Diceros bicornis minor: one gene and its partners. The protein of the gene in region 2 purifies or fractionates together with the protein of the main gene of each other region. This does not show direct contact. Links are inferred from orthologs where the notes say so. Each region holds a gene or a part of one and is shown on either strand. Other genes may lie near its edges. The genes, in order: SCAP, INSIG1, AMFR and ERLIN2.

Evidence for each region.
Region 1: the proteins of INSIG1 (region 2) and SCAP purify together in Homo sapiens (affinity purification with western blotting; 11 studies listed by BioGRID and IntAct, with this or other methods). This does not show direct contact. The link is inferred for Diceros bicornis minor from reciprocal best matches to the Homo sapiens genes INSIG1 and SCAP.
Region 3: the proteins of INSIG1 (region 2) and AMFR purify together in Homo sapiens (affinity purification with western blotting; 6 studies listed by BioGRID and IntAct, with this or other methods). This does not show direct contact. The link is inferred for Diceros bicornis minor from reciprocal best matches to the Homo sapiens genes INSIG1 and AMFR.
Region 4: the proteins of INSIG1 (region 2) and ERLIN2 purify together in Homo sapiens (affinity purification with western blotting; 4 studies listed by BioGRID and IntAct, with this or other methods). This does not show direct contact. The link is inferred for Diceros bicornis minor from reciprocal best matches to the Homo sapiens genes INSIG1 and ERLIN2.

Annotation. Positions count from the first base shown.
Region 1 is NC_080741.1:48,816,877-48,824,887, reverse strand, and holds the start of SCAP (sterol regulatory element-binding protein cleavage-activating protein), read left to right. Parts: upstream 1-4,999; 5' UTR 5,000-5,059; intron 5,060-8,011. UniProt on the Homo sapiens protein: Escort protein required for cholesterol as well as lipid homeostasis.
Region 2 is NC_080742.1:100,132,268-100,139,878, reverse strand, and holds the start of INSIG1 (insulin-induced gene 1 protein), read right to left. Parts: upstream 3,009-7,611; 5' UTR 2,936-3,008; intron 2,664-2,935; exon of another isoform or gene 2,358-2,663; intron 2,256-2,357; 5' UTR 2,230-2,255; coding exon 1,818-2,229; intron 1-1,817. UniProt on the Homo sapiens protein: Oxysterol-binding protein that mediates feedback control of cholesterol synthesis by controlling both endoplasmic reticulum to Golgi transport of SCAP and degradation of HMGCR.
Region 3 is NC_080771.1:9,983,626-9,990,663, forward strand, and holds the start of AMFR (E3 ubiquitin-protein ligase AMFR), read right to left. Parts: upstream 3,017-7,038; 5' UTR 2,897-3,016; coding exon 2,636-2,896; intron 1-2,635. UniProt on the Homo sapiens protein: E3 ubiquitin-protein ligase that mediates the polyubiquitination of lysine and cysteine residues on target proteins, such as CD3D, CYP3A4, CFTR, INSIG1, SOAT2/ACAT2 and APOB for proteasomal degradation.
Region 4 is NC_080768.1:34,488,540-34,495,788, reverse strand, and holds the start of ERLIN2 (erlin-2), read right to left. Parts: upstream 3,013-7,249; 5' UTR 2,346-3,012; coding exon 2,274-2,345; intron 1,808-2,273; coding exon 1,686-1,807; intron 373-1,685; coding exon 291-372; intron 1-290. UniProt on the Homo sapiens protein: Component of the ERLIN1/ERLIN2 complex which mediates the endoplasmic reticulum-associated degradation (ERAD) of inositol 1,4,5-trisphosphate receptors (IP3Rs) such as ITPR1.

The DNA of each region.
Region 1 (8,011 bases), on a different chromosome or scaffold from region 2:
AGTTATTTAGCCTCTCCAGGCTTCAGTTTTATCATCTACAAAAAGGGGAGACAATAGTGCCTGTTTTATGGGTTTTAAAGAGTTGTCAGGGTCAAATAAGTGATGACGTGTAAAGTAGACCTGGCACATGGTTTAAGCATTAGCTACTGCTGCTGTTCTTATCATCTGGCAAACTCGCACCTTATAAGGCACTCATACAGCATCCTCTTGGTGATTCTTGCTCTTTGGTTTCCTGCCAACCAACTCCCTTCCACGCGTAGGACTTGGAAGCTCAGTGGGAGAAGTTCAGGGGCTTTGGGTTGGGCAGATCAACATTTGATGCTGCCTCTGCGTGACCTCAGGCAAGTTGTTAAAGCTGTGGGTTCTTCAGTTTTTGCATCCTTAAAACGGGGTTTATTTTACCTGCTCTAAAGGCCATCATGAGGATTATATTATAAACCCTGTCGCTGGCAAGGAGCCAACAATCAATAGTTTGTCATTATTATTGGTTGCTATTATGACCTCTGTAATAACCTTTATCATATTGCCTGCAAGGTTTTGTTTAAAGATATGCACTAAGACAACTTCTCTAGTGCAGGGAATTAACTTCTTATATCCCTGGTCTCATACATGGTAGGAACTTGATAGGTAATAAAGGAATTGAATGAGTATCAGTACAAGTTGGAGATTTTAAATGTTTTTAGTGATTGTATCATGGCTATTAGAATGGCTACTGTTTATTGGTACCTAGACATTTTACATGTGTTCACACTGATTTAATTTTTTTTTGAAAACTACAGTGGTTGATGTTCTTGGTTGCGTCTTGGAACCTGACTCCTAAGTCGAAGTTCCCTGAGGTTAAATTAATTTTCCTGGCCACAGAGCAGCTGCTGCATGTCAAAACGAGGATTCAAATCCAAGAAGTCTGGCCCTGAGGCAGCCCTTTCCACTTTATCATGTTGCCAGCTGCTATCACTAATGCTTAATTCATGGTGAGCATGATTATTAGTGCAAGCAATTGCAAAGACAGACCGTTATCATTATGAAACATCCTCCTCTGTGTCCATAACAAGCTGAGGTGGCTGGGCAGTGGGCTGGAACCCAGAGTCCTGGGTCCTAGACTGTGGCTGCCTGGTCGGTTATCAGAGTGACCTTGGGCAAATCTCCCCTCTTGAGGAAGCTTTCTTCATTTGTGAAATAGACCCAGCCTCTATTTTGTCAAGATTGTCATGAGGATTTGCCCAGCCTGGAAGCTGAAGTACTGGGAATTAATACTTCTTGATGATCTCTAAGCTCCATTTAGTTTTAAAATTTTTTGAATTGATCATTCCCATGAGGAGCAATCTGAAGTAAGCTTCAGCTTTGGCTAGTTAGGGCTAAATGGAGCTGTTCCACCTGAATTACATTTAAAAACTAAAATCAGCTATCTGCAACTTACCTGGAAATGCATAATAAATAAGATGATTGGTAGGTGGATAAAAGGATAGATTTTTTTTTTAAGATAGATATAAGATACTAAGTGAAACATTAACAGTTGTAAAATCTAGAGCATATAGTCATTAACTGTATGGTTCTTTTAACTATTCCCTGTTTTCATAATAAAATGTTGGAAGAGAAGCCCTAAAATCATGGCCACTGATTGGGGGGCATTCTGTGGCAGTCTCACCAGGGGCTCAGGAGCCTCAGCTTCCCCACAGGGCTGAGACAGGAACCAGCCTAGGAGACAGGGCTATCTGCAAAGCCCCTGGCCTAGCAAGATAAGACTCCTAACCCATCCGCAAGCTAGGAGAATCAGATAGAGACCACCAAGATCCACATTCCGCAGTTTCGAGACTTTCCTGGGCTTACGCATGTGCCCTAGCACCAAGCAGTTGTCTGAAGGTGACCCTAGCCCCATTACCATATTAAAAATCACAGCCAGGGGTGGAGAGCCAGGATGCTAATAATACATGCGTCACACATAGTAGCATGCTACACAACAGCACAGGCACAAGCACAACCCTACCTCTACATGCCAGGATGAGGCACTCATTCCCTAGCCTTTGCCTAATAAAATGCCCGAAAATCTGTCTCCCTAAAGAACCTGTCACCTGCCCCTTTTCCGCACCGGCTCCCTTGTGCCTCTCCTGTGCACAAGCTAATAAACTTTTACTTTTCTACTTCTGTTTGTTATCTGTCTTGATTTCTATCCTGGCGGACAAGAAGGACCCAACATGCCGGTAACAGGGCCTCGGTGGGTTCTCCTTGGGCAGTGGAGGACACTTGATAGCGCTGTAAGCACAGAGGTACTTAGCTAAGTGCTTGTCAGTTCTGGGGGCTTTTGTGTTTGGAGGAAAGTGCCCAGACCTTGCAGAGGCTCAGTCCCCTGCAAACACAGGTTTGGTGGAGTGGTCTGGTTGGGTGGGAAGGGGTTGGTGAGTAAGGAAGGGTGACAGCAGTCCCCAAAATACAGTCTGGCTGTCTAAGTCCCTGCTGCGGAGGTTGTGAAAAGCCAGGCCCTCTCTAGAGAGAAGACTCTGGTCCAGTGGGTCTAGGGTACGGCTCAGGAAGACTATTGGTTTAACTTTAAATATTTCCCAGGTGATTCTGCTGAGGCAAGTTTGGAACCACATTCTTTGTAGGAACTTGGCAGTAAAAGGGATTGGGACTCAGTCATGCAGGCTCACGGTAGTTTCACTCAGAAAACTAAAAAAGCTGGATTGACTTTATATTTGCCCAAAGGAACAAGGCAGTGGAGAGAGAGGGAAGAACTGGTGACAAAGAAGTGAGATCCTTTTTGCTCATGACTTCTGAGGGGCCGGCTGATGGCATTTCAAGGGATTAGATGTGGACAGAGTGATGTGAGGATGGGTAAGGGGTCTAAGACTCCCTCACACTACTCTTTTGCTGCCTTTCTCTAAAAATAACAAACAAAAAAAGAATTCTTCTTTTATAGAATAAAAATTCTCATCTAAAGCAGAAAGCCAACTTTGAATACAGGGCATAATTTTTTTTTTTTTATAATTTTATTTATTTATTTTTCCCCCAAAGCCCCAGTAGATAGTTGTATGTCATAGCTGCACATCCTTCTAGTTGCTGTATGTGGGACGCAGCCTCAGCATGGCCGGAGAAGCCGTGCGTCGGTGCACGCCCGGATCCGAACCTGGGCCGCCAGCAGCGGAGTGCGCGCACTTAGCCGCTAAGCCACAGGGCCGGCCCACAGGGCATAATCTTAAAGGTCACTTTGGGCCAAGGCCAATTGTCCCCATTACTATTTAATTTCACTGTGACAATAGTGTGGTGGGCAGGGAGGGAGGCAAGACTTTGGCGGCCTTGGAGATGTGGCCTAGAGTCCAGTGGGAACAAGGTTGAGGGAGAGGATAGACTCTGAAGAAGGCCTAGGAAAGACAAGGCGGCTGGAGCTGCCAGAAGGGCCGCCTCTAATTTCTCCCTTGCATTGTGGCTATATCTGCACTTTAAAGCAACCTCAGCGCTGCAGCCCTTGAGGGCAGGAACAGAGTCTGCTATATGCTAGTAGCCTCCGCTGGGTGCCGTGCCGGTGAACTGAGCGGCTGAGCATGGCTAGGGCAGCAGGGTGGGGCGGGGCTGACCCCTGACACTGGAGACCCGGGTCCGCGAGGGCGTGGGGTGGTGTGATCAAAGGGCAGCATCCTGGGATGGGCCAGCGTTGGGCGGGCCAGGACCCGACCCCTAGCCCAGGGGAAGCCTCCCCTTCCCGTTGTGTGGGACCCAATAACAAGACAGACCTCGGGGTTTTCGGGAAGGTGGGATGAGACAAAGTGTGCGAAGTGCTCAGCTCAGCACTTGACACAAGAATAAACATTCATTGGACATTGGGCCGGCCCGTGGCCTAGCGGTTAAGTGCTTGCGCTCCAATGCTGGCAGCCTGGGTTCAGATCCTGGGCGTGCATCGCCCGGCCGCTTCTCTAGCCATGCTGAGGCCGCGTCCCACATACAGTAACTAGAAAGACGTGCAGCTATGACATACAACTATCTACTGGGGCTTTGGGGGGAAAATAAATAAATAAATAAAATTATAAAAAAAAAACCATTCAGTGGACATTGCTATTGCTATTACAACAAATACACTTTCCATGTAGAAAATGGTTAAACACCCATCAGCAAATGGAAAACACCCAACACCCATACTCCTCCACCCAGAGAACTCCACTGACCACACATCAGTGTCACCCTGGACCCCTCTCCTTGGATTGTTCTTAGCAAAAATGAGCTCAGACTCTACAACTCATTTTGAACCATCTTTCAAGAACTTTCAACAACAGTATTTGTAAAACTAATCTTTTTAAAGGCTGTAGAGAAACTCATGGACGTAATTTATTCGACCCATCTGCATTTGTTGTGTCTCTGGGCTGCTTTTAATTTTTCGTTGTTATAAAACAGGGAACATGGGCATCTTGTGCATGTTTTTTTTTTTTTTTTTTTTTTGTGAGGGGATCAGCCCTGTGCTAACATCCGCCAATCCTCCTCTTTTTATGCCGAGGAAGACGGCCCTGGGCTAACATCCGTGCCCATCCTCCTCCACTTTATATGGGACGCCGCCACAGCATGGCTTGCCAAAGCAGTGCGTCGGTGCGCGCCCGGGATCCGGGCCAGCGAACCCCGGGCCGCCGCAGCGGAGCGCGCGCACCCAACCGCTTGCGCCACCGGGCCGGCCCCATGTGCATGTTCTTGATAATTCTCAGGAACGTGTAGTCAAAAGCCCTGGTGCGGTCCTTACAGCCCTATCCCATCTTGACGCCCCGCCCCGACGGCCCGGCTCTGCCCTGTACCACCACCTCTCCCTCCCTTGGGGTTGTGTGACTGGCGTCCGCCAGGGGGCGAGCGGGAGCCGCGGGCGGGGCTCGACTACGCATGCGCGCGCCATCGGGAGCACGTGTGGAGAGCTGCGGGGGTGGGAGGGGAAAGGTAGGAGGTGAGAGGTGAAGGGGCGGAGAGCTGCGCGGGCGCCAGGCTACCGGGAGAGAGGGGGCGCGCGCGCTACGCACCGGACCGCGGGCCGGGAGCGCGCACGCCGCGCCCTGCCGCCGGCGCCGCCGCCCGGGAGCTGCTGCTGCCACAGGTACCGCCACGGGTCCGGAGTTGGGCCTCCTGCCGCGCAGCCGGGGAGTTCCAGGATGGGGGCCGCCGGGGGCACGGGCGCGCAGGCGTGGGCGCTGTCCAGCAGCCGTGCGGGCCGGGCCGGGCCGGGAGGCGGCAGCCGGGAGACGGGACCAGGCCGCCGCGTCCCCACCCCGACTGCGCCCCCCATCCCTGGCCCCGGGTGACCTCTGCCTGGAGAGGTGGTCGCGCCGTTGCGCCTCCTGGCCTCGCCGTTCCTCGGGAAGCTGTTGCTTCTAGAACCTGCTTTTGGGCTGTCTGGGTTTTCCAGAGTGAGAGGGAGAGCATGCTGTCTGTTCCTGCCTCTTTTGGAAGATCTAATTGAGAGGCAACACGTAGCTTTTTTGGGTTTTGTTTGGGTTTTCTGTTTTGCCCAAACCTAAACTTTGCTCACGGATGTTACCTGTTTACTTCTAGGTGGGTCTGTTAGCTCAGTATATCATACAGGATTATAATGTCACGATAGCATTAGTTGCAGGGAGCCTCGGATCCAGACTGTTTGAATCACAGAAAGTTGTACAGGTAGAAATGCTGTTGGCTGAAGGGACAGGGAGTCCCTGGGGGGGCTCTGGGAGGGGTTCCCCCTAATTTGGGCCACTTACTGCCCCACGTTCTGAGGTGACAGTCAGAGCTGTGTGACTAAACTCTTTGTGAGGATTTTGTAATAATTTTTGTGAAGAGAACACAGAAGAGGTTTCTTTAATGATGTTAGCTTTGTGTGTGTTTCTTTTATCTGGCCTCATGTTTTGTGGAGTTTGGTTATGCAGTGTCCTTACTGGTGTTGTGCTAAAGATTGAAGCTTTTACAAGGGAGTCAGGGTCAAGGGTGTCTGGTTAGCACTGAGTACATTTTAGGTGTTCCCGAGTGATACCTAATTGATGACCCGTATCTTTTAAAATGTATGTTAATATAGTTTAGGTTTTAGGTGTTTTACACATTTGCAGCATTCCCACTGGACAAACGATGTAAAAAACACAAAATATGTGTAAATGTATCTCCATATTTATTCTTTTGGTAATAGATTGAAATTGAAAGAATTACTTCTTATTTATTAGGAACTAGTCTGGTGTTTGAGAGCTCTCTCTCTTCTTTTGCTGTTGTGGCAAAACTGCACCTCTCCAGAGGTCTCCGTATATTTCATAATCCTCCCTGCCCCCACCAGTTATCTAGATGAGTTTACTGTTGTGAGGTGGGTAAAAAGTCTGCTCCCAGTTTATGACTAGAAAATGGAGGCATAAAGATTGTGAATTGCCTGAGGTCATATATGAGCAAGTAAGCTGTCCAGTGGGCAACAAACCATACCTGTGGGGATTAGTACACATGCATTTATTAACATTTGGTGGTAGACTTTAGGGATGCTCACTCTCTTAGTATCTAGCCATGCACGTGAATGCGTCTCAAGGACCCTGGAATGACACTTAGCTTTATGTACTGTTTGCTTATCCTCACTTTGGTGGCCATTTGCTGGCCACTAGTGGTAGTTTCACTGGCTCTAATGGGTACTGCATATATGGTTTCTGTCATCACTCACAATAAACAGATGAGAAGACTGTCCCTCATAGAGAAACTGGGTTCTCAGGGTCACCCAGCTGGTAAGTGGTGGATCAGGCCTGCAAACCAGATGTGCTTGACTGTACTACCTGAGCTACTTCCACTGTAACTTGGTCCCTTCCTGAGCTGGCCGATGAAACAAAGTCCAGGTGACTTCTTTTGCCATCTGAAGTAATAATTCTGGGTGAAATATTTATTGAGCATTTGTGCTGTCTAGGTACTGTGCTAGGTGCTCTAATAATAGCTTATCTCACTTAATCATCATAATAACCAGGTGAGATGATACTGTTATCACCCCCTTTACTGGTGAGTTTTAGAGATGTTATCTGACTGGCCCTGGGTCACCTAGTGAATTAGAAGCAGAGCCCAGGCGTAAACCCAGGTTTGTCCGGCAACGGAGTCCGTGCTTTATGCTGTTCTTGCATCTGTTGGCTTCACAGTCTGCTCTGTTGCCCATTGGCAGGTGAGAGCTAGCAGAAGAAGGTGATCGAGGTGAAGGGAGGAATCCAGCATCATAGACTTCAGTCAGCGGTGGTGGAACTCAGAAAGGAGATAGCAATTTGGCCCCTGCATTTGACAGCTTCCACTTGAGTGGTCAGGGGCACTGCCGGAGGATGCTTGCAGGGTTTCTGGGCCATATATAAGCTTTGCAGTGGAGTCCAAAGAGGAGGAGGGTGTGAGCATGAAGGGTGCACGTGGGTCTCAGGAAAAAAAGAATTAAAACTGATCTTTGTGTTTATTTCGGCCTTCATTTTTATTATGTATTTTATAATGTACACTATATTATCACAGTACATATATAATTTATATATAAATATACATATATTGGGGACATATACTCAGATTTTTGTTGTTGGGGATTCATAATGAAAAACATTTGATAACCACTGGTTTATTTGATATTTTAGCATTTTCCGAATGCATAAATTACGTAAGGCATAATTATTAGCCTTACATTAGCACATGTAAGGTGCTAACCATTTGTTCCTGAGTTGGAAGTCCAGTGAAACTCAGTGTAATTCCTCATTATCAGAGAGAATGGTATTTCATATTAATAACCAATTATAAATTATTTAAAAAATTGCAGTCACAAGTAGGAAAGAGGATCTGGTATTTCAATAGTCTTTATGTCTCAAATATAGCACCAAGCTTAAGTTTGAAGCTATAGTGACTGATAAAGCCCTTTAGAAGTTAGATTTTGGGGCCAGCCCCGTGGCTTAGCGGTTGGGTGCTCACGCTCCGCTGCTGGCGGCCCGGGTTCGGATCCCGGGCGCGCACCGACGCGCCGCTTCTCCGGCCATGCTGGGGCCGCGTCCCGCATGCAGCGGCTGGAAGGCTGTGCAGCTGTGACACGCAGCTATCT
Region 2 (7,611 bases):
CGAGGCTGGAAAGCCACACAGTTGTCCCACCCGGGTGTTCTATGAAAGACGTCACCATTTTAGGTTCTTGAACAGAGAAACAAGAAACACAGTTTTAGCTAAACATTCAAATGAAAGATTTTCAGTTTCAATTTCATATTACATTTTATCAAGTTCTAACTCTAAAATGGAACCCAAACAGCTCTATAATTTACTTCACTATAACTTAATCTTACCTTTTAAGGTGAAAAGCTAAATAGGTGAAAAGGCACTATGGAATTTTTCCCTTATGCTCTTGGCTGATGGTAAAAAAAAAAAAAAAAAAAAGAGTAGGGTACGAAAAATTGTGTTTCAGATATTCCTGGAATTCCTTGAAGCTTCAATTACAAATAAAGCCTAAACTGTTCCATTTTTAAGATCAAGTTTTTGATTCAAAGAAAGAAACTACTGCGCCAAATGTGTATGAAAAATGGAATTTTGCATCTAGATCTATTTCTCAAAAAGGATTTTTAATAGTATAGCCAGATATTTAAAGTGTTTAAAAGAACAAAGTAGGACCCTATCTTTCTGAGAACAAAGATGAAAAGTCTACCCACTGCTTCCTAACTACAGTATGGCTCTGATGACTGTCCTAGCTGGAACCAGGCTCTCCATCACAAGCCTCACGCCTTCCTGCTGTTTTAAGTGAGTCTGCCGAGAAGGTGACGTGTTTCCACAGTATAGGGGAGACACCCAGACTCCAGGGAGGCTGTGTGCAGAGCTATGAACAGTGGCCCTGCCACTTACTGGCTGCGGCCCCTTGGACACAGGCACTCAGTCTCCCTGTGATCCCCATCTGTAAAATGGAGCTGTAGCAGAGCAGTGCTGCAAGGACGAAAGGAAGCAAAGCACATAAAATGCGACGTGGGCATCACAGTGCACACGTGTCAGCTACAGAGCCAACGGCAGGGCACTCCTGCGACCCTGCCATCACCCACACACGCCTGTTCTGCCCTCTGTCCCACTCCCCCTGCGCTTCAGCAGCTGGTGGACTTGGAGGCTGCAGGAGCAGTGGACACGTTTGTTAATCCGTGAATGACGTGTGACTAGAGCAGCACTAAGTGATCTTCTAGGCCAAGAGCAATTCAGCGTTTTAATAAAACCAGCTAAATAACCAAGAAATTCTACTAAAAACAGGCAGTCCACCTGCCCACAGTTTAGACTGACCCAGAGTCATGTTTTGCGGCATCTCCGTGACTAGTTACGGGAACTCACACCTAAACCCTGAACGAGGGGTAAACCCTGAACGAGGGGTTACTGTTTCCTCAGCAGCTCTGGGGGAAAGGTCTGGCTTTGGCCACGTCCACTTGGCCATCCTGCAAAAGGAAGTGGGAGAGGCTGCTCCCTGGCAACGCCTCTGCCCACTGTGCCCACGTGACAGGTTTGTTTTCAGTCACCCAGCAGCGTAGCATGTTCTCGCGGGCAACCAATAGCAGTGCAGTCCCGCGGCTCACCAGTTCTGCAGGTGGCCAATCCGGGGGCCACTCGCTCGGGATGACAGCTGTGGGGCTCCCCTAACACTGTCCCCACTGCCAGGTCAGTAAGGGGGAAGGGCCTCGGCAGCCTGGCACAAGCCCGGAACAGCCAATTATCTCCCCACCTCATCTCCATCACTGAGCTTTCTCCAAGCTCCAGAGACTAGCATCCGGGGGTTCAATATCCTCTCCACCCCCTTCCCCACTAAATACAAGGACTGGAGACGCACACTTGTCCTCTGTGGATGTTCCATTTTCAAACAAATGTTTCTCATAGGCTGAAGAGCGTTTTTAACCAAACAGCCATCTTTTCTTTCTACTCACCAGCTGCTGTGCCACAACAGGGAGGAACCCACCAGGCTGAGGAGAAGATGGTGGCAATCACTTCCTCAGGGAATAGGGTGACATTCCTCTGGACCTGCAGCAGGTTGAGCACCAGGGCTAGGACCACCCCGACCGAGAAAAGCACCAGGCTCCTCTGCACCAAGTGGTGATGCCAGCTGTTAGTGTGGCCGCTGCTGCCACCACGGCCCCCCACACCAGGGCTCCGCAGCCCACGAGAGGCGTCAGTGTCCAGGGCACGGGGGGCCATCAGCCGAGAAGGGCCGGACGCGGAGGAGTTGATCATTTCCCCCACTTTGGCCGCCAGCCCTCCGGCACCGGCTCTCGGGTGGCTTCTGTGCCTCAGGCGGTCAGCACAGGAACAGCTCCAGAAGTTCTCGTCCAATCTGGGCATCAGTCACCAGAGTCAGGCAGACTTTCCTAGAAGAAAAAAGGGGTCGGAGAGGAGGAATCGCCATCAAGTTCATTTCCAAGCGACACGGCAGGTCTGGAAGAGCCCGTCAGAAGGAAGGCTATGCTCACATCCATCACCAGCTCGTGCAGGAAAACTCCCTAGTCCCTTGGGGATTCAGCCGGACAGGGCAGCCCACACCGCAGTACCACGGGGATGGACTGGCAAGGGCACCCACGGAGGAAGCGAGGGCTGCGATCAGGGACAGCCAGGTGTTAGGTCGCCCGAGCGTTGCAGAGCCCTCTGAGCTCCCCACCCGCCAAGTGCTCCTCCGCATAAACCCTGAAGTGCTGGTCCCGTCCAGTCCAAAAGTTTTGCAGACTCCGCCCGTTCGCAGGAAGCAGAGGCTAGCGGGGCGGCAGGACAAGTTACTGGGCTCCTACCGGATGGAGGGAACCACAGACGAGCCCACTGGGGTCAGGGGTGCCGGCCCCGGCCCGGGGCTGGGGTCGGGGAGTACGCCGAGGCCCGAGGGTCGGGGTGGGAGCCGCAGCTCGCGATCAAGGCCGTCTGCCCCACTTCCGGGAGGGGAGGCTGCGGGGTGGGGGGCGCCCGGCCCTCGACATCCCACCCTCGACACTCCCGGCCGCACCCTGGCCGCTGCCCCTTCCACCTCGGCCCCCCGGCCGCTCCGCCGCGCCGCACGCACCTATCCAGGGGCGCCCGCCCGCGGGCTCGCCGGGAGAGGAGGTCGCGGATAAGGGTCGCAGCCCGCGGCGCCCAGTGCGCGGAGAGACTTATAAAGCGGGCGGCGGGGCGCAGGGTCACGTGACCCCGGCCCGTCCGCCCGCCCCGCCCACGCGCCCGGGGGCGTGGCCTCCGCGCGCCCCGCCCCGCCCGCGCGCCCGTGCGCTCGCTGTCTGGTGAGGCGGCCGCGGCCAATCGGGGGCGGGCGGCCCATATGACGTCAGCACACGCCACCGCCGCCCCGCGCCCGGCGCCGGCTCGGGAGCGCGGACGGACGGACGGCGGGCGGACGGGGCCGCGGGGAGCGAGGGCGCCCCGGGCGCGGGGTCGGGGGCGGACGGGGTTTGGGGGGCGGACCCGGGGACAGGGCTGGAGGCACGGACCGGGCTGGGGAGGGAAGAGCGGGCGCTCCGGGCCTCCCCGCTCCGCGGCCCCGGTGCGGCCTCCTGCCGGCTCCCCGCTGCCCGGCCCGATGCATCGCGCGCCGATTCCGACGGGAAGGCGGGAGAGCCGTTTTCAGATCCACGCAGCCGCCGGCCGCTGGGCATCCCTCGCGTGAACAAACTGGACTCTAGATCCTCGCCCACACCTGGCCGATTGATAAGCCTCCCTCCTAACCTGCTGCCCTCCGCGCGTCGTCGTCGGGTGACCGCGCTCTGCACCTGCCGAGTCCCCTCGTGATGCTCTGACCTCCATTCAGTGTCCGGCTTCCTGACGCTCCCGGTGGTCACCCCCCCTGCTAATTGAAAGCGAGTTCATGCACGCGGTGACCAGGAGGCACCCGGCAGGCAGTAAGGGCGCAGAGATAGTAGTTTATTGTGTGAGTGCAAGGATGTTCAAGGTACTTCTTTGTTTACCAGCTACCAAAGTGATTCAGAAACCTTTTTGACACAAAATCCTTTGTGGAAATATAAGTGATGAAAATTTCATTCACATGATAATTTCTTCCTGTCCCTAATTGTCTTTCCTCACATTTGGAAAGCAAATCATCAAAACCACTCGGGAAAAAATAAAATATTGTTTTACCTTGTTGAGGAGTAATGTATTCATATCGTGTTTGCCATATCACACCACCTAAATAGGAGGACAGGCCTCGTGCCAATTGAAAACCCACGTCTTATTGAGCAAGATGGTGTTATTTAACACGTTCCTCAACAACGGAGAAAGAGGTTGTGGTCTTTTGTACTGTCTGCTGATGCGTGGAGATTGAGAGAGGAAGTTTGTGCTCTAAATAGCAAATCTCATGGCCAAGAGACCCTACAGGCTTGGGCACCGTGAAATACCATTGTGGGTGGCATCTTCAACATCAAGCTTTGTGGCTATATGCCAGAAAGTTAAAAAAAAAGAAAACCTCAAACATCTGCCTGAGGTATCAGTATTTCTCAAAGTTCATTTATTTGGGGGGATTCACGTGAGTTTGTGATAATAGCACAGGAGAGTTCAGGGAAAAGTAGGCTGACAGTGGCTGTGTTCATACTCCTTGACTGTCAGAAGTGGTTCACTGGGAAACTTGAGAGGCACTGTGTAAAGACATTGCCGTTTGTTAGCTTGTTGCTGCTGCCCCAGGGTGAGTACTGGTTTCTCTTTTCTGCCACCGCTTACTTACGGGCCACACAGCCTGTTTGTGGTGTGGATCGTACACCCAGCCATGATGCCAACCTGGCTCTAACTTAACCTAATCTTTTTTACTTCTATGAGAGGATAAATTTTAAAAAGTGTCATCATTGTGGATTAAAACTGAAAATTGCTCTCAAACGCTTCTGTTCAATCAAGACAGCATTTGCTAATGATGTGACTTATTTTCCTTTCTTGAGCATGACCCAGACAACGTGGGAGTGGATGGGATGGAGGGGTTCCCTCTGTACCTCTCCCTGTGGGTCGGGCAGAGTCAGGCTCTCACGCTCTGTACAGGCCTCTATGAGCCCTGTTCTCTGTATGCTTTGTTCCCAAAGGCTCAAAGCAGTTCTGATTTCAAGAAATATCGTAATCTGGGTCTTGGCCCTTAGCTCCACTCCACCTTGCCTAAGTGCATGAAGATATATGTATTTATACCATCACAGTAACACTGGAACTTTGTAATAGCAAAAAAATAAAAAACTGCCCAACTGTCAACCAATGGAAAACTCATTAGATAAATGATGGCACCTCTGTACCATGGGATGCTGTATAATTGAGTTATTGCTTTTTCAACCATCAGAAGCCTGTGCTGTGTCTTCCCAACCCCACCATCAGCCTCAAGTCCCATACACACAGGTTGAGAAGCATTGGTATAAATCAAGCTTTAACCTCATGGAGATGCACCTACATCATAGCCTTGACCCTGAAATGTAGGCGTGTCGTGGATTGAATTAGGAAACGCCAGCAAATGCAGGAAGCTTCTGTTTAGCACATCAGCTTTCAAAAACTGGTTTATTCAGGTGGGTGAGGCCCAGCAAGCAGAGTGGCAGCTCTTCGCTTATCTGCCTGGCCGCTGTGCACAGAGATTCCTTACAGCACAGAAATCAGTACATCTGCCTGCTGGGATCTAAGATGGTTTTCTTTACCTTTTTTCTCCTGCCATTCTGCCTAGCCATGCAGACTATCCCAGTATCTCTTTCAGCTGTAGTACCCTTTATGTACAAGCACAGACCTTACAAAAATATTTTATGAGTTCCTGTCTTGTCTCTCCTGCGTGAAAGGGGGCTGTCAATTCTGTTAGCTAATTGGTGTGGTAAGGTCTGTTCATTTGGTTACTCTGTTCTCTCTACCCAAGCCGAGACTAACACAGCCCAGCCTCTCTGACTCTGTCCCCTCTCGCATCTGTACTGAGACTGAACCGGGGGGAGCACAGAAGCCCTGTGGACCTGTGGGAAGGTGGGAGGGATGCCTGTGGGCTGCGTTCTGTCCATCCAGGGTACCATTTAGTTCTTAATTGTGCCACTTTATATTAATCGTTATAGATGTTCTATTATGCAAGGAAAGCTTGCTATTGCTTACAAACTAAACACAGTGCTATCCCTTCTCCCCAAAGCACTGAGTAAGGACACGACACCTCTGTAGTTCTTCTGGACCAGAAGAATCATGGGATGGTGGGGTATCCTAAGGACTTTGAGACGTCATGTAGTGAGCAATCTACTGCCTTTAGTCTGTATTCCTAGTACGCTTTTTATTATAACATTAACAACCATTGATAATAAATATTTTAAAAAATAGGATAGAACGCTAAGCCTATTATTTTTAATAGAAAAATATCACATGCTCATTGTAAAACAGTCAGGAAATATGGAAAAATATATTTTAAAACAAATCCATAATGCCACCACCTAGAGATACTGTAACATTTTAGGGTGTGTATTTCCAGATATTTTTCCTATACATAAATGTGCATTTTAAAAAAAGCACAAGTAGGATCCTACTTCACATGGAGTGAAACCAGGTCTTCAGAGATCATAAATATCTTTCAAAGTCAGTCAGTATAGACTACATCACCATTTTTTAACAGCTTTTTTGAGATATAATTCACAAACACTGCAATTACCCCATTTAAAGTGTACAATTCAAGGGCTTTTAATATATTCACAGAGTTGCCCAACTATCACCACAGTCAATTTTAGAACATTTTCATCAGCCCAAAAAGAAACCCGGGGTGCTTTAGCGGTCATCCTCCTTACCCACCCGGCACCCCACCCTCCAGGCCTCTACTCCTCAGCCCAGGCAACCACTGATCTACTTGGTGTCTCTATACATTTTCCTGTCCCGGAGTTTCATGTGAATGGGATTATATACTATGTGGTCTTTTGTGATTGGCTTCTCTCACTTAGCATAATGTTTCAAAGTTCATCCACCTTGTTTCGTGTATCAGTACTTCATTCCTTTTTATGGCTGATTGATATCCCATTATATGGAAATACCACGTTTCGTTTATCCATTCACCTGTTGATGGACAATTGCGTTGTTTTCACTTTTTGGCTGTGCTGAATCATGCTGCAATAAGCTCTTGAGTGTTTGTGTGTGAGCAAAGGTTTTGACTTCTCTTGGGTGGGACTGCTGCTCACATGGTAACTCTGTGTCTACTTGCTTGTGGAACTGCTGGACTCTTTTCCGAAGCAGCTGCTCCGTTTTATGTTCCCATCAGCAGTGTGTGAGGGTTCTGATGTCTCCACAGCCTTGCCAACGCTTGTTGCTATCTGACTTTTTGGTTCCAGTCATGCCAGTTTATGTGAACTGGTTATGTCGCTGTTTTGATAGCAGGGTGATATTGATACCGGCTCAACGCAAGGTTGACATAAGGGAAGCCATATTGTAAGAAAGAAACCCTATTGTAACGTTGAATGACCTCCGATTAGCCCAGACATGCTCTGTGGATTTTATGGCCCCTGCCAGCTACAACAAGTCAATAACTTTGTTCTTTTGAGTTCCTTAGGAATGTGATGACCCCAGGCACAGAGTCTTTGCTGATAGCCCTCATCAATGACAACTGACAGATCAGGGTAGAGGGCGTTGCTCTGCTCTCTGATGCATATCCAGTAAAACAAAAGACTATCAGGAACTAAGACTAGATATCTGCCCCAACCCGGAGATCAGATTGATGCCCCCACCAGGAGACTAGCTGCCTCCCCCACCCAGAGACCAGCCCCCTTTATAACTGGCCTGTGGTCT
Region 3 (7,038 bases), on a different chromosome or scaffold from region 2:
CAACATTTTACAAGTATCCCAGGTGACAATGAACCAGGTTGCCAGAGGTCCACACTTTGAAAAATACACTTTCAGAGGGGTTGCTCACCTCTCCCTTTCTCTCACAGCAGGGTCACTTCCCCCATCTCCTGTGACTCCTGGGTCTCCCCTTCACCTTCCCAACCTCACTCTTAAATGAAAGGATCCAATGTAATTTCAATTTAACAACCGACTTTATGAACCGCTCTGCACGTGCTCTCCCCTGTCCTCCATACTCCAGTCTGAGCTTCACATGCTGTTTTCTCTACCTGGAATGCCCTTTGCTGCTTGCTGAGACCCTTCCCACCTTCCAAGGCTGGGTTCAAATATCACCTTCCATGCATCCTTCCCTGGGCATCGTTTTCTCTTTCCTCCAAACTCCACCATATTTTCTTTATATATCTACTATCATTTATCGAATTTTGCCTTATTTGTATATGGATTGCTTTGAGAGTAGGGGGAAAGTGTTCACAGCCATGCCCTCCAGAGTGCTCCAAATAGTACCTTTGAGGGTTTTGAAATGAGTTTGTTAACCAAAAACCTCTTGAGATGCTATCAGACCCATACTAATCTGAACTGTGCTCTACAAAGATAAGTTTTAGACATTCCAATACACCAAATAATAGCAGCCAGATTGCAAACTGGCCAAAAGATCAGCTTTTGTTTTGTCTTGCTTGGTTTTAAAAAATTGAATCTGAATGCCTTCGGACAGAGAGCAAAACAGATCCATTTTGACAAAGGCCCCACCACATATTCACTCAATAAAGCTATCAGTCAGCCCACGGAGGAAGGCCTCTGAGATTGTGATTCCTACTCAGCTAGTGAAGCAGAAACCATGTAATGGGTGCTGAGGGTCTGAGAAACCAAGGAAGGCCATGATGGAAGCGTGAAAACCAAGGAGCAAAGATGGAAGAAAAACAATAAGAAGATCAATTGAGAAAGGAAACAGACAGGAAGAAATGTCAAACTTGCATGAGGCAAGTCCTTTACTGAAAAAGCTGGGAAGAAAAGGAAACTTTCTTAAAAGTAATAATTTTCACAGAAAAATCAACAGGCCTTTATGTAATATTTTATGAAGAGCTGTTAACCTTGGAACTTGAACGTGGGTTTTGTAAAAAGAAACTCCGAGGGAAAAAAGAATCACGAATCACTACTAGTAGTTGTTATATAAATACTATAGTGGTTCCTTCTCAAAGGCTTATTCATATCTTATACTTAAAAAAATATGTCAAAGACTACATGATGATGTTAACATCTGGCAAAAACCCTCTTCACATCACTTTAACTTGTTTACCTGCTTAAGTCAAACACAAAAATAGATCTGAAATTAAACAAGAGATGGGAGTTGAGTTCTTTCACTTTTCCCGTCTTCAGTTCTGTAAGGTCCAACTTCACAGCAGCAGAGCACCCGAACCTCACCCTCCACTGCCTTCCACTAATCTCTTCATGAGAAGGACCAGGAGACTTAATCCACAGCCCACGGAGTTCCTAAATCCCACTGCTTCCTGATGAAGCACAGTGGGATTAATTATTACAAATGAGTTGTATATCATTCTATATACTTGGAATACTAATCTCAGTCATTTACAGCCTACTCTCCATCCCAAATGGGAACTCTCAGGAGGGGACAAGACTCAAGACGCCACAGTATATCCAAGCGACACACTTCAACCTTGCAGCAACTTTTCTGATCACTGTAGGGTTTATATAAAGAAGTATTTACATTAGGCCAAGGCGGAAGCAAAGTTCTTTAGCCAAAATACTCCTGATCTGCCCCGCCTGAAATTATCTGTTCTAATCAGCGAACCCAGCATGTCTGCCTTGTAAAGGCTGCTTATCGTGCATTGACAGACGAACTGGAAACCTTGTTTTAAAATGGATCACCAAAAGGAGAAATCCTGAGTTAAAATGATGAGTGTTTTGCTGCCTTCAGACATCAAAGGAAACCGTGACGAATCACCAGGTGAGAGCGGCAGGAGAGGAAGCACGGTCTGCAGGTTTGTTTGACCCAAAGAGGACAATCGCAGGCTAAACGGCAAAAAAGTGGTGGGAGACGGCCTCTCGCCGAATAGGAACGTCCAAACACCCAAATGCCTAAATGCTCCCAGACTCGACCCCGAATTCCGGCTGTGCCCTCTCCTCTCCAGGGGAAACCCTACAACACTGCCGTGCACGACCGGGTCAGAAAGGCCTGTCAGCTTCCCTCCACCAGGGAACACAGCAGCGGGGCCACTGACCCGCCGGGCCCAGCCTCCCCCGAGCCTGCTCTCTGAGGGCTTCCAGTCTCCTCCCCGGGGGGCCCTCAGGAACCCCCACCCCGCTCCCCATCTTTGACTTCTACTCCGCCCCTCCAGCACCTAACCTCTTCCCTCCCTCGCGCCCCCGCGCCCCCCCCGACCCCTTCCTCAGGCCCTCCAACTCGGCCGCGCCTCCTCACGCCCATCTCCTCCCGCCCCGGGCCAGCCCCACAGCCCCCCTCCTCCGGCAGCGCGCTCGCGGGCGGGGCCCCAGGCTTCTCACTCGGCGGGCCCCAGGGAGGGGACCCGGGCCCCAGCCACGCCCCCCACAGATAATGGGTGACATGGCGGCCCCCGCCCCTCGCGGCGGCCTCGCTCACCCACACGAACAGGCTGTCCGAGAGCAGGTACTGGGCCACGTCGCGGGCGCGGGGTCCCCCGGCGCTCGGGCGGGCGAGCGCGGCCGGCTCCGGCAGCAGCGGGGCCGTTGGCGACTCCTGCTCGCCGCGCCCGGGCCCGGCCTCGGGCTGGCTGAGGGCGCGGTAGGCGCTGACGATGGTGCCGAGCAGGGCCAGGCCGCTGAGGCCCGTGTAGGTGCGGAGGCTGGGCCAGGGGAAGCGCTCGAGGAAGAGCAACGGCATGGCGGCAGCGGCGGCCTCCGGCCCCCAGGCCTCCCCGCGCTGCGGCCAGGCCGCCGCGGCGGCCTCGCGAACGGCGCCCACGGGCTCTGGCGTCGCTGCCGCCGCTGCCGCCGCCGCCGCCGCCGCCGCGCCGGGCCAGGCCGGGCCGCTCCTGGCTGCTCGCGCCGCTCCGCCCCGCGCCGCTGCCGCTGCTGCCCCTGCCGGCGCGGAAGAGCCTCGGCGGGCGCGGGGCGGGCCGCCGCCCCCCGCAGGGTGCGGGCGGGACGGGCGCGGGGGCGCGGCCTCCGTCCCCCGCCCCCAGCGCTCGCGCCGCCGCCGGGCCGGCCAAGGCCCAGCGCCCAGCGTGCTGCCCCGCCGGCCCAGCTCCGCCGCCCGCGGACGCGCGGGGCACCCGCCCGGCCGAGCCGAAGCGCACTCAGGCCCGGCGGCGCTGACGGGCGGTGGGGCCCAGGCCGCGTGGCGGCGCGCAGGACGCGGGCACCCGGGCCACCGGGCGTCCGGCCGCCTGGCCCTTCGTTCCCTTTAACCCCTCCTAAGCAGGTTGCCCCTGAGCACCCCTGTGGGCCTAGCAGCTTCCCCGGTGGCCGAAAGAGGAGATGGTGCTTAGGGAATAATAGAGGCCTTGACCTCAAAGAAAGACTATTAACAGTCTGAAATTTCTCCCCAACAAAGCTGTCTTCAGTTTCTGCTGTTTGCTAGTAGCCTCGCACAGTCTAAAACGAACCGCATTTAGCGGGAAATAAAAGTGTTCCCTCGTACACTAGGTAGGAATGTAAAATAGTGCAGCTACTGCAGAAAACGGTCTCTCAGTTCCTCAAAAAGTTAAACCTAAGAGTAACCATTTGACCTAGCAATTCCAGTCCTAGGTATACACCCAAGAGAAGTGAAAACATACCTCCACACAAAACTTGTGCACAAATGTTGGTAGCAGCATTACTTATAATAGCCCGAGGGTGGAAACAACCCTCATGTCCACCAAGTGATGAATCCATAAATAAGGGATATCCATATGATGGGATATTATTCAGCCATAAAAATGAGTGAAGTACTGATGCAACGTGAACGGACCTTGAAAACATGGTAACTGCAAGCAGCCAGACAAAAAACACCACATATTGTGACTCTTTGTAGGAAATGTCCAGAACAGGCAAATACATTTACAGATACAGAAAGTAGATTAATGGTTGCTTAGGGATGGGGAAATGAGGGAACTGGAGGGTAAAAACTAAATATGGTTTTCTGAAGTGATGAAAATGTTCTAAAATTGTGGTGATGGTTGCACAACTCTGAATACACTAAAAATCATTTAAGTGTACGCTTTAAATGGTGAGATATATCTCAATGTGTATTATAGTTCAGTAAAGCTGTTACAAAGAAAAAGTGCTACCAAAAAAAAAATGTTAGCTTGGGGGTCTTATTCTTCATTGTATCTCCAAGGCCTGTAATAGTGCCTGGCCCACAGCAGGTGCTCAGTCAATTTTTGATGCATCTTACAAACTTTCAAAAGAAAAGAAATTGTCTTCAAAATCTCTTTTATACCTAATACTCTAATTCGAAAAGCCTACTAATTGGAAACTAAAAAAGATCTCTCAAGGTTATTACCATCTACTTTGGAAGTTTTAGGATCATCCTATTAAAGGGCCTGTGATGGAACAGAACAGTTTGGCTTTTGTGGGGGCCACACACCAACTTTTTTATATGAGGTCTATATAGACCTCATATAGAGCTCAATGTCCATGTGAATTTACACATACTTGTTTATGAAGTCTATATGAATATTAGACTTCAGTTCCCTTTGGTTCTCCACCCTGCAGCCATTTGATTAAAACGCTACTTTCAACTTTATTGGTAAAATAAAGGAAAGCTTTATTTTGAAAAAATGAAGATAGCGATTTTCCAGGGAAGTTACTGTTCTACTTTATCTGAGCTCCCATAATTTTTAAACCACACTATCAGGTGATCCATATTCAGTCTAAGTCACATTACAGTTACATAATACCACACCAACTGTGTCCCATCACCATAAGAGGCTGCTGTTAATAGATCTGCCCTTATTAAGGTACAATATTCCACCATCTTGAATTTCAAAGTGCTATACTCTTTATTAAATTATATTTTGAGATAACCACTACTTTCTAAGTGTTAAAAAAAAACTTTAGACAACCTGTTTTCTGGAATGACTTTGTGAAGTGTCTAATAGCAACTTTTTACTTTTGGCTCTGACTATATTAAAACTAGTCTAACTAAATTAAACTTAGAAGCTTGAACTTTCTCAATATTCAATATAAGAATAGGTGAAATTAACCTAACTATATAATTTTTAATTCACATTTTAAAAGATTTTAGATGTTTGTGTCTGGATATTTTACTAGGATAATTAGTATTTGTTCTACCAACATTTTTTCCTTTCCCTTTCCAAGAAGGTAACCAGGCTTTTGCACATCCATCTCTCATGGCTTCTTTTTGGCAAGGACGGAACCCACCTTCTAAAGTCAGCTAATGCTTCTGGTTCTTTGTGCTGCATCCTGCTCCATGAGAGGACCAGGGGAGGAGGCAAGAGACAGAAGGGATGAATATTTAGTGTACCCAGGAAGGCTGGACCATAGGCACAGGGACTACCTGTATCAGTCAAGTTCCAAGGCCCAAGTGTGACATGGAGGCAACAGCACCAGACTTTAAGGGCCTGGTCCAGCTTGGACAAGAAAGGGTCTGTGGAGTCCGTGACGGAAGCCAGAGCTCTCCGCACCCCCACTTTCATTTCAGAGTACCATTTATGCCTTCTGGATTCTTGTGAGACTTTGGGTGGGTCCTCACTCCCAATAGTGACTGAGAGACTGAATTTCCTTCCATCTTTGTGGGATGATGGCTCTGATTTAGTTTGATTTAAAGGAAATGTGTCATTTCAAACAGACCAGAGTTTGTATGGAGTAAGATTCACACCTAGATACAGTATTGCTATTTTCATTTTTTAAAATATTTGAAATCCTTTCATATGCGTGACCTCATGTGATTTTCACCATCCTGTGAGAAGGGCTGAGTAGCTTTTTGTTAAGATTCTCAACGTCCTAGGAACTGAACATCATTATCTAATCCAGTAGCCTTAAATGGACTCCCATGGAATTCCGGTGTTTCCTTAGCTGGACCAATGTATTCCACTACTAAATCTAGCAGAAGAGGAAAACTAACCAACTCCTCAAGTTTGTGCGGAAAAAACTAAGTTAATGGGTATATTTCAATCTTTACCTTTTCTTTCATAATTTTTCATAGCTCTTTGGTGCCTGCTATAAAATACACAAGTAGTAAAATTTTCAGAACTTTGCAATAACTTTATCAGGTTTTGTTCAATATTTGTTCAGCTATAAAGCCTCAAGGCTATGGTTTTATTACACATACATTCTCATATTTTGGGTATAAATTGTTTCTATTTAAGATGCTGAAATTAAATTACACAGCATTACATAAGCAGCAAGCATGGTGTCACAGAACATCACGACTGTCTGGCAAGTTTGAGGAAAAAAAACTGTAGGAGTGAACACTCTTTATAGATGAGGAAATGGAGTCCTCAATGATATAACAACACAGACTTAACACAATTGTGAGGCAATTTCTAAATCCCAATCTTCCCAGCTATGAGAATAGGTGAAACTAACCCAATAATATAAGGTTATTTTTTATTTGCATTTATTTGCACCAGGTACCAAATCCAGTGACCGCTTCACACTGGAGGAAACTGAATCTGCCTATGAACACTGCTAACACACAATGGAGGAGTGTGAGGGGAGGGCAACATCGATGTCCCAGGTCTTCAGGCCCTTGCTATTACGTCAAGCTGTCTCTCACCTAATGGCCCCTAGCCACTAACAGTGAAAAAGAACCCTGCAGGATTTCTAATGGCACACTAAGGTTGGAGCCACACAAACAATCAGTCATTCTATTTTAAATTTTTTTTTATTGAAATGACAATAAAATAAAAAAACAGTGACCATTTTAATCAAACTTTTACTTTACAAATATAAAAATATAACCAAAACTTAAACAGTTTCTTTTATACATTTCTATAAACTTAATGCCAGAAAAATCCTCAAAGCCAAACTATAAATGATGCTTGTACACTATGATGTAAGCACAGTAACCAAAAGTTG
Region 4 (7,249 bases), on a different chromosome or scaffold from region 2:
TCAGAACAGATTCCTCCCTGGCTTTGTCTTGAAGTGAAGAAATAATGCCCAACTGGGGCTGATGGGCCAAGGAAATGACCCCATTCAGCTAGTTCAACAATCAAGCTCCAGAGTAAATGGCTCGTGGAGCCTCATTCTTTCTATATATATATACATATATAAATAAAACTGACTCTTAAATGATTCCTTGAAAAGGTATTATACTCATCCAATAGCTAAATTCCAAATCATGCATTAGTCAGCACCCCAAATCTGCAGTCGTCCATCCATACCACACAAGCCAAGTATACCTGCACAGACTTATATGATGTGATGAAAGGGAGCATGAGATGGAAACCAGGGCCGCTGGTGGAAGTCAGCAGGGCACCGCCTCTGCAGAGGAGGAAGAGAGAGGCAGGTTCAGTTTAGCAAGAGGTATCTATTACAGCAACATGGTTTCGGCCAACTTTCTCTTCAGCCCCACAAACGTTTAATATAGGGTGACATGTGTCAGAGCCACGTCCACTGATCCCTTTCTTCCTCTTGGCTCAACTGTAATATTCTAGGAAGCCTGATGGTAAAACATAAAACCATTATTCACGCTTTTGCAGTGAGAAAGATAGGCACACAGGTTAAGTAGAATAAAGACAGCAGAATCCCTGGCTGTACTTCAGATAAGAGAGGAAGTCTGTTTTATTTTGTCATATCCCTTGAGTTTGTGGAAATCCATTAGGGCAGTTAAATGCAGTAATACTGCCATCAATTAACTGCACTAATGTTGGAGTCCAGTGACATGAACAACCAAAAGAATAATTTTAAGTATGCTTTAGAAATCATTTTAATATATTACTTTTTGGCAGGCGAGTTATCTTTTAATCAAGTTATATGTAAATAACAAAATTAAAAGCCTCTTTTGGGGACATAAAAGCAGGTGGTGGGGAGAAATAATTAAAGTAGAGAGGGAAACTCAATCAGACATTTAGAACTTGCTATTGGAAATCTAGAAATAAGCATCATAGGGCACATACACGAAGGGGTTCATAAAGGCTAAAGCAACAACTTGGTTATGGAGGTTACTAAAAGGAAAGCACCTCAAGATTTATAAGTGCTTCTTCACTTTACATTATGAAGTCGAAGATACATTTTTTTTTTTAAAAAGAGCAATAAAATAGTGACATAATGGGCTCCATTATTGTAAGAACCACTATCCTCAGGCTTGCCTTAATTAATATAAATAAACCTGCAGGCTCTTTCACATTTCCTGAAATGTTAATTTTAAACAGTAGGTTCAAATTAGCACAGCAGGCTAGCTCCTCAAGTTGCCATCAAGAACTGGTACTCATCAGAGGTAACCTTGTGGCACCAAGATGCCCAAAGGGATGTAGGAGAAAACAATGTTTCAGAGATGATCTGCAAGGAGCACTGGTTTCCTTTAGGTTTTGTCTCTACATATCTATACACATTTATCAATCACCACCCATGGCACCAACTTAGACTACTAAATTGTATATTTACAACTATATATGTGTATATATGTATGTGTGTGTATTCCCCTCCCCATGGTCACTGACACAAAAGCTCAATCTAAAAGACTCCCCTATTCAACAAAATATAAACACAGATATCCAGCAGAATCTGCTAGACAGTGATTAGGAAGGAGAGTCATGTAAGAGGAAGTTGCAAGTTTCTCCCTGTCTCTGCCTTACCTGTAATACACCCCAATATGTCCCTCTTCTATCTTGTGCACAGCTGAGAAGAGAGATGCACAAAAGAAGCTGGCAGCCACAGCCACAATTGCTCCCAACTGAGCCATCAGTGAACCTTTATCCTAGGAAAAAAATACGGGAAAATGTGTGTGGTCTGATGCAGGAGACAAGCTATGACAGCAAGAGCACCTCACCAAGCTGAGCTCCCTCAAAGCGGCTCTTATCCAGCCTGCTATAGTATCAACACATGGCTAGGTCTACAACTCTCTTCAAACCTTGTTCTCAGTCAACATTCCCATTCCTTAACTGTAGAACTATATTCCCACCTCTTGAAAAGGCAGTGGCTCCAGCCGTGGCCCGAGGAACCCGTGCTAATTGGGCAGCGTTCAGAACACAGCCTTCCCTTCCTGTGAACACGCACGTGCTGTCACTGGAGCCACTCATACTAGTAAAAGGGAAGAGAGGCAGCTGCAGTATGTTGGCCCAAATTACAGAGGATGTCAGATGACCGGCAGTTGTGGCTATGTAATTCTGGTCAGAGCCTCCCAGTCCTAATTGCCCGTCATTTCACAGGAAACCATTATTTACTCCTTTCAGATGCTGGAGCGACAGAGACAGCATGCGAGCAGGGGTCCAAGGTGGGATTCTTTGGCCTGTCATGCACCTTCCCAGTTATTCCTTTGGCCCTTCACGGGACAGGGTTCTGAACAAGACTGAAGACACACTCCCTCCCATATACCTGACACTTTGCCCCTGACAGGTCCCAACTCCATGGTTAGAGAAAGGGGGTTCCCCAAGCTGGGAGGACTCTGGGCTCCTGGGACAACTGCGTTCAGGCACCAGGATGCGAAAGAGTTGGCATCTAGACTCATTTTCCGAACACTGAATGATCTGGAAACCCTATGGTAACGGGCAGCAGAAGGCAGGCAGGCGTGCGCGGCCCACCCGCGCAGAGCGTGGGTTCTGCCGCCCGGGTCCAACATAGCTCGGGCGCGGACACCCGCGAGGCGCTTATTTTACGGTGGCGGCCTCCTGCTACCGATCTGCAGCCGCATCCTTTCCGCAACAGCTCTTCCCTCCCCGAGGTCACCCCGCCCCACCTCGCGCCCCTTCCCTGTCCTCTTCCGAGAGAGGGTCGCGCGTCCCACACGCCCTGGGGAGGGGCTGGGCTCCGAGAGCCTCCGCTCGGTCCCGCCTGCGGGATCGCGGGAAGGGAAGGGACAGAGGAGCGTCGCGTTCTCGCTCCCGGAGTGGGCCGGCTGAGGGAGCGAGGCTGCTGGGGCGGGGGCCCGGGAGAACCGCTCATCGGCTCCGGCCGACAGCCGCAACTAGGCCCAGCGCGCCCACTAAGGGGCGGGGGCCGCGTACCAGGCTGTCCCTCCAGGCGCTCCGTACTCGTCCGACCTCCTGTGCAACCGCAGAAACCGCCACACCCCTCGACACGCTACTTCCTTCCGGACCCGTCGCTCTGATGACGCCATTAGTCCACGCGAGAGGATCACACTCCCTCCCTGCCGAGTTCTTCGCCCCGCCCTCGCGCTCCGAGCGGTCAGTGTCCGCGGGTGGCCGCCAGGGGGTGCCCGCGGCTCGGTCTGGGCGGTCAACACTGCGCTCTGGGATTTCAGGGCTGGGGTGCGCGGAGCGCGTGGAGGGTGACCGCGGCTGCTGAGACCGAGGGTGTCACTTTCCGAGATTTTGACTTTGGAGTTTGCTGAGGAGGCCCCTCCGCATTAGGCCAAGCCTGTTTTTTTTTTTTTTCCCGGAGCAGGTCCCAGCGAGTTGCAACCATTCTAGCCCTGTGCTCGCAGGGTCTTTTAAATGTGCAGATTAGCACCCTTACGTCGCTAATCAACAGTCGCTGCTTTGAATTGCCTTTTTGCTTTTCTAGGAGCTTTGGCCTCTGAGGTCCCCGCACCATAAAGTCGATTAAGAAGGAATCATCCCAACTTGAGTGAACGAAATCTAAGATCAGTGAGGTGCGAGGGTAACAGTGGATGAAAGCCTCCTTTGCGCTTCCTTAACATCAGGACCTTAACTGCCTTTGTAAGTTAACTCCTGCCGCAGGACACAGGGGCTTGTGCGCTTCGTTGTCTCCCTGGCTAGACTGTAAGTTCCTTGAGGGCAGGGATTGCCTCTTCCCTTCAGCATCCCGGGTGCTCGGGTGCTCAGGTGCTCAGTCAAAACAGACTGAAGGCGTGGCGGGACCGGGACCAGGATCCAGACTTTGCCTCTCCTAGTCTAAGGGCCTCCCGTTGTCCGCAGCCTTCGCTGTTCAGCACCATCACATTGGGGCATTTCTAATTCAGCCACTGAAGTTATTTTATTTGCAGAAGAGAAAGTTGGAGTCCACTTCATTACAACCTTCAGTAAATGAAAAGCTTTTACACGGGGAAGATGGCAAGCTAGTGGTGGTAGATTTAGGACACAGGAATAGGAAACTGTAGGTTTTCCAGGCATGGCTGCTTGGGGCTGGCTCATTCTCCCTCTGCGGGTTTGCTCTGGGACTTTGTGTGGGGATGGCTCAGCATTATATGGTTAAGGCCACAAGTGGGCTGCATGGCACTGCCTGGGAGCTCTGTGTTCACCTCCATACATGAGGACCTCTCCCCACCGCCCCCCACTGGAAATCCCACCCCCAGCACGCGCGCATGCCCGCACTCTTGGTCAATCTCCTGATTGATCCTGTCAGAACTTGAGAGCTTTTTTCTCTCCCCGTGCGGTGATATAACTCAGCTGGGCATGCTTAATCAAGGTTTATTTAATAGTTGGGTGAATGAGTAAGAGAAATGGAAATGTTGAGGTTTCAGCCCAAGGAATGGGGCTTAGCCTGCATAAAGGATTTAAATTAGTTGTAATTTAAGAATTTCCTGACTGTGAAACTTGGGAATGAACTATGAGCGGAAGTTGTGGGATTTTGTTCTTGGGATCCTTCTCACCAGGCCTGAGTTGTCCCATTGTGGCCCCATCGAGAGGCAGGGGGTGGACTTCAGTAGATGATGATCTAACATTTCTGAAAATCCCTTTCTTAAGAGACCTGTGATTTTTATGACTCAATATCCAAAGTTATCATGGAGGTAAGTCTGCGGGGATTTGTTTAACAAAAGTGTTTAAAAATCCATTTTTAAAAAATCGAGGTATGGTGGCCAAGCATAGATACTCCAGGCTGACTGCCTGGGTTTACATCTGGGGCTGCCTCCCCTCCCCCTGCCTCTTATTAGCTGTGTGACCTTGGGAAAATGACTTAATCTATCTGTGCTTCAGTTTCTTCATCTGTAAAATGGGGGTCATAATAGTCTGAACCTTATAGGACTGTTGTGAGGATTAAATGTCAAATCAGGAAAACGTTTGGCACATTTTAAGTGTTAGCTATTGCCGTTTTAAATAGCAGATTCCATTAATGTGTTCTTGCCTGTTTGTGGATTTGGATTATCAATATGACAAAAGGTGAGGGAAGGATAAAATTAAAGTTATGTGGTATTGAGTAATAACCCAATGAAGGCTTATCAGAAGAGATAAGGGTCTCTGAAATGATACCTCAATGGATATTTACAATGCAGATTTCATAAACCATTAGTGAGTGCTTTCCATGTCCCAGGGCCTATGCCTTTCTCATTTTATACAATCTTCAGGTCAGCCCTTTGAGGTCAACTCCATTTTAGAGGAGGAACTTGAAGCCTAGAGAAGTTGAGGGATTGCCCAAGATCACAAAGCTTGTGAATTGCAAAGACAGAATTCAAATAATCCCAAGTCTATTTCTTCATTATAGTAAATGAATTAGGAACTAATGATTCAACTGAACACACACACACCACATTTATTTCACGTGTAACCTTTCAGGAATGTAGACCGATGGTCAGAAGTTGCGAAACTTTAAATTGGGCCAGTTCTTTTTGTGCAGTTGTAAGTTGAAGCATGATAAAAAAAAAAAAAATACTCCCATGACAGCTATCCACATCTCCCTATGTCTGGATTGCTGTTTGTTTAGTCCTCTAACAAGCTAATTGTTGGTGAGAGTGCCACTTCAAAGATAGAAGAGACCCCTTCTTTCACAATTAGAGCCCTTTTTATTAATGACCAGGTGGTTAACTCCAAAGGAACCAGGCAACTCTTAACATCTTTGGCTTCAGTTCATTTATATCACAAGAGTGGAAGTTGCTGGAAAACGTTTTTGTTTGATTTTGATTTTTCTTCTTATTTTATGCTCTAAACAGAGACTAGAAGTCATCTTTCAGGACATTTGATCCCAGTACGATTTTGGTGAGCTTGGGGGAAGAGGAGTGAAGAATTATGTCCTTAATTCTTAAGAAGGATACTTAGAACTTTCCCCTCTTATTTTCAGTTGGAAAAACCAGGATTGGTGCCTTCTAACAACAAAAGGATATTTGCTTGGGGTTCTTCAAGGGAGTTCGGTAAAGGGATCAAAGAGAAGTCTTGAAAAAAAAAATTGAGTTGGAAGTCAGTTGGTAGTCACCTAAAAGATCATTTTGTGATTATATGTTTTTATAGCTTTATTGAGGTATAATTGACATACAATAAAGTACCTATAAAGTGTACAGTTTGATAAGTTTTGACATATGTATATGACCACAATCAAGATAATGAACACATGACTCATGCCCCCAAATTTCCTCAAGCTCCTTTGTAATCTCTCCCTCCCACCCCTCTCTATGACTCCTTAATTCCCAAGCTGAAACTGATCTGCTTGTCATTGTAGATTAGTTTGCATTTTGTAGAATTTCATATAAATTAAATCACACAGTATATACTCTTTTGGGGGGGGTTGTCTGGATTTTTTTTACCCAGAATAATGATTTGGAGATTCATCCATGTTGTTGAGTATGTCAATAGTTCATTCCTTTTTCTTGCTGTGTAATATTCTATTGTAGAATTATTTAAACAATTTGTTTACCCATTCATCTGTTGATGGACATATACATTGTTGCCTGTGATTTTAATCTAACCCATTTATTTCACTCATGGAGAAACAGAGGGCACAGGGGAGGAAGTCTCCAGAAAGGGGACTTGGTTAAGGTCCACAGCGCCTTTGGGGAGTAATGGGAAAGCAGCCTGCTACCCTGGGAAACTGCGCTGAGAGGCCTGGTGGTTAGAGGTGTGGCTTGGCTTGTTTTGCCTGGGATGACCATTCATTTGACATCTCTGAATCCATAGTAACTTTAGGAATTTTTAAAAAAAGATTGTATGGCATTTTGTCCACATACATCTCTCTATATCATTGATAGATGCCTTTTTGCTGTAGACAAAGAGATACCTTATGTGCCTGGTATGTTAATATCAAAGAATAAGGAAACCCATGTTCTATTCTAGGCCAGTCTTTTCCACCTGGATTCTTAATCTCATCCTCCAGGAACCTAGAGCCTTCAACGATCTCCTCACTCTAGCAGATCTTGAGCTGCAGCCTGCAGTCTTGTGCAAGTCTCCCTCTCTCTCCTCTCTCTTAAAGCCCCTCCGTTGACCCTGCATAAACCTCTAGTTCTCACGTGATTTGTCTCCTTCCTTTTGAGCAGTTTCTTGAAAAAGTACCTACGGTTGCTGTCTTTACTTCC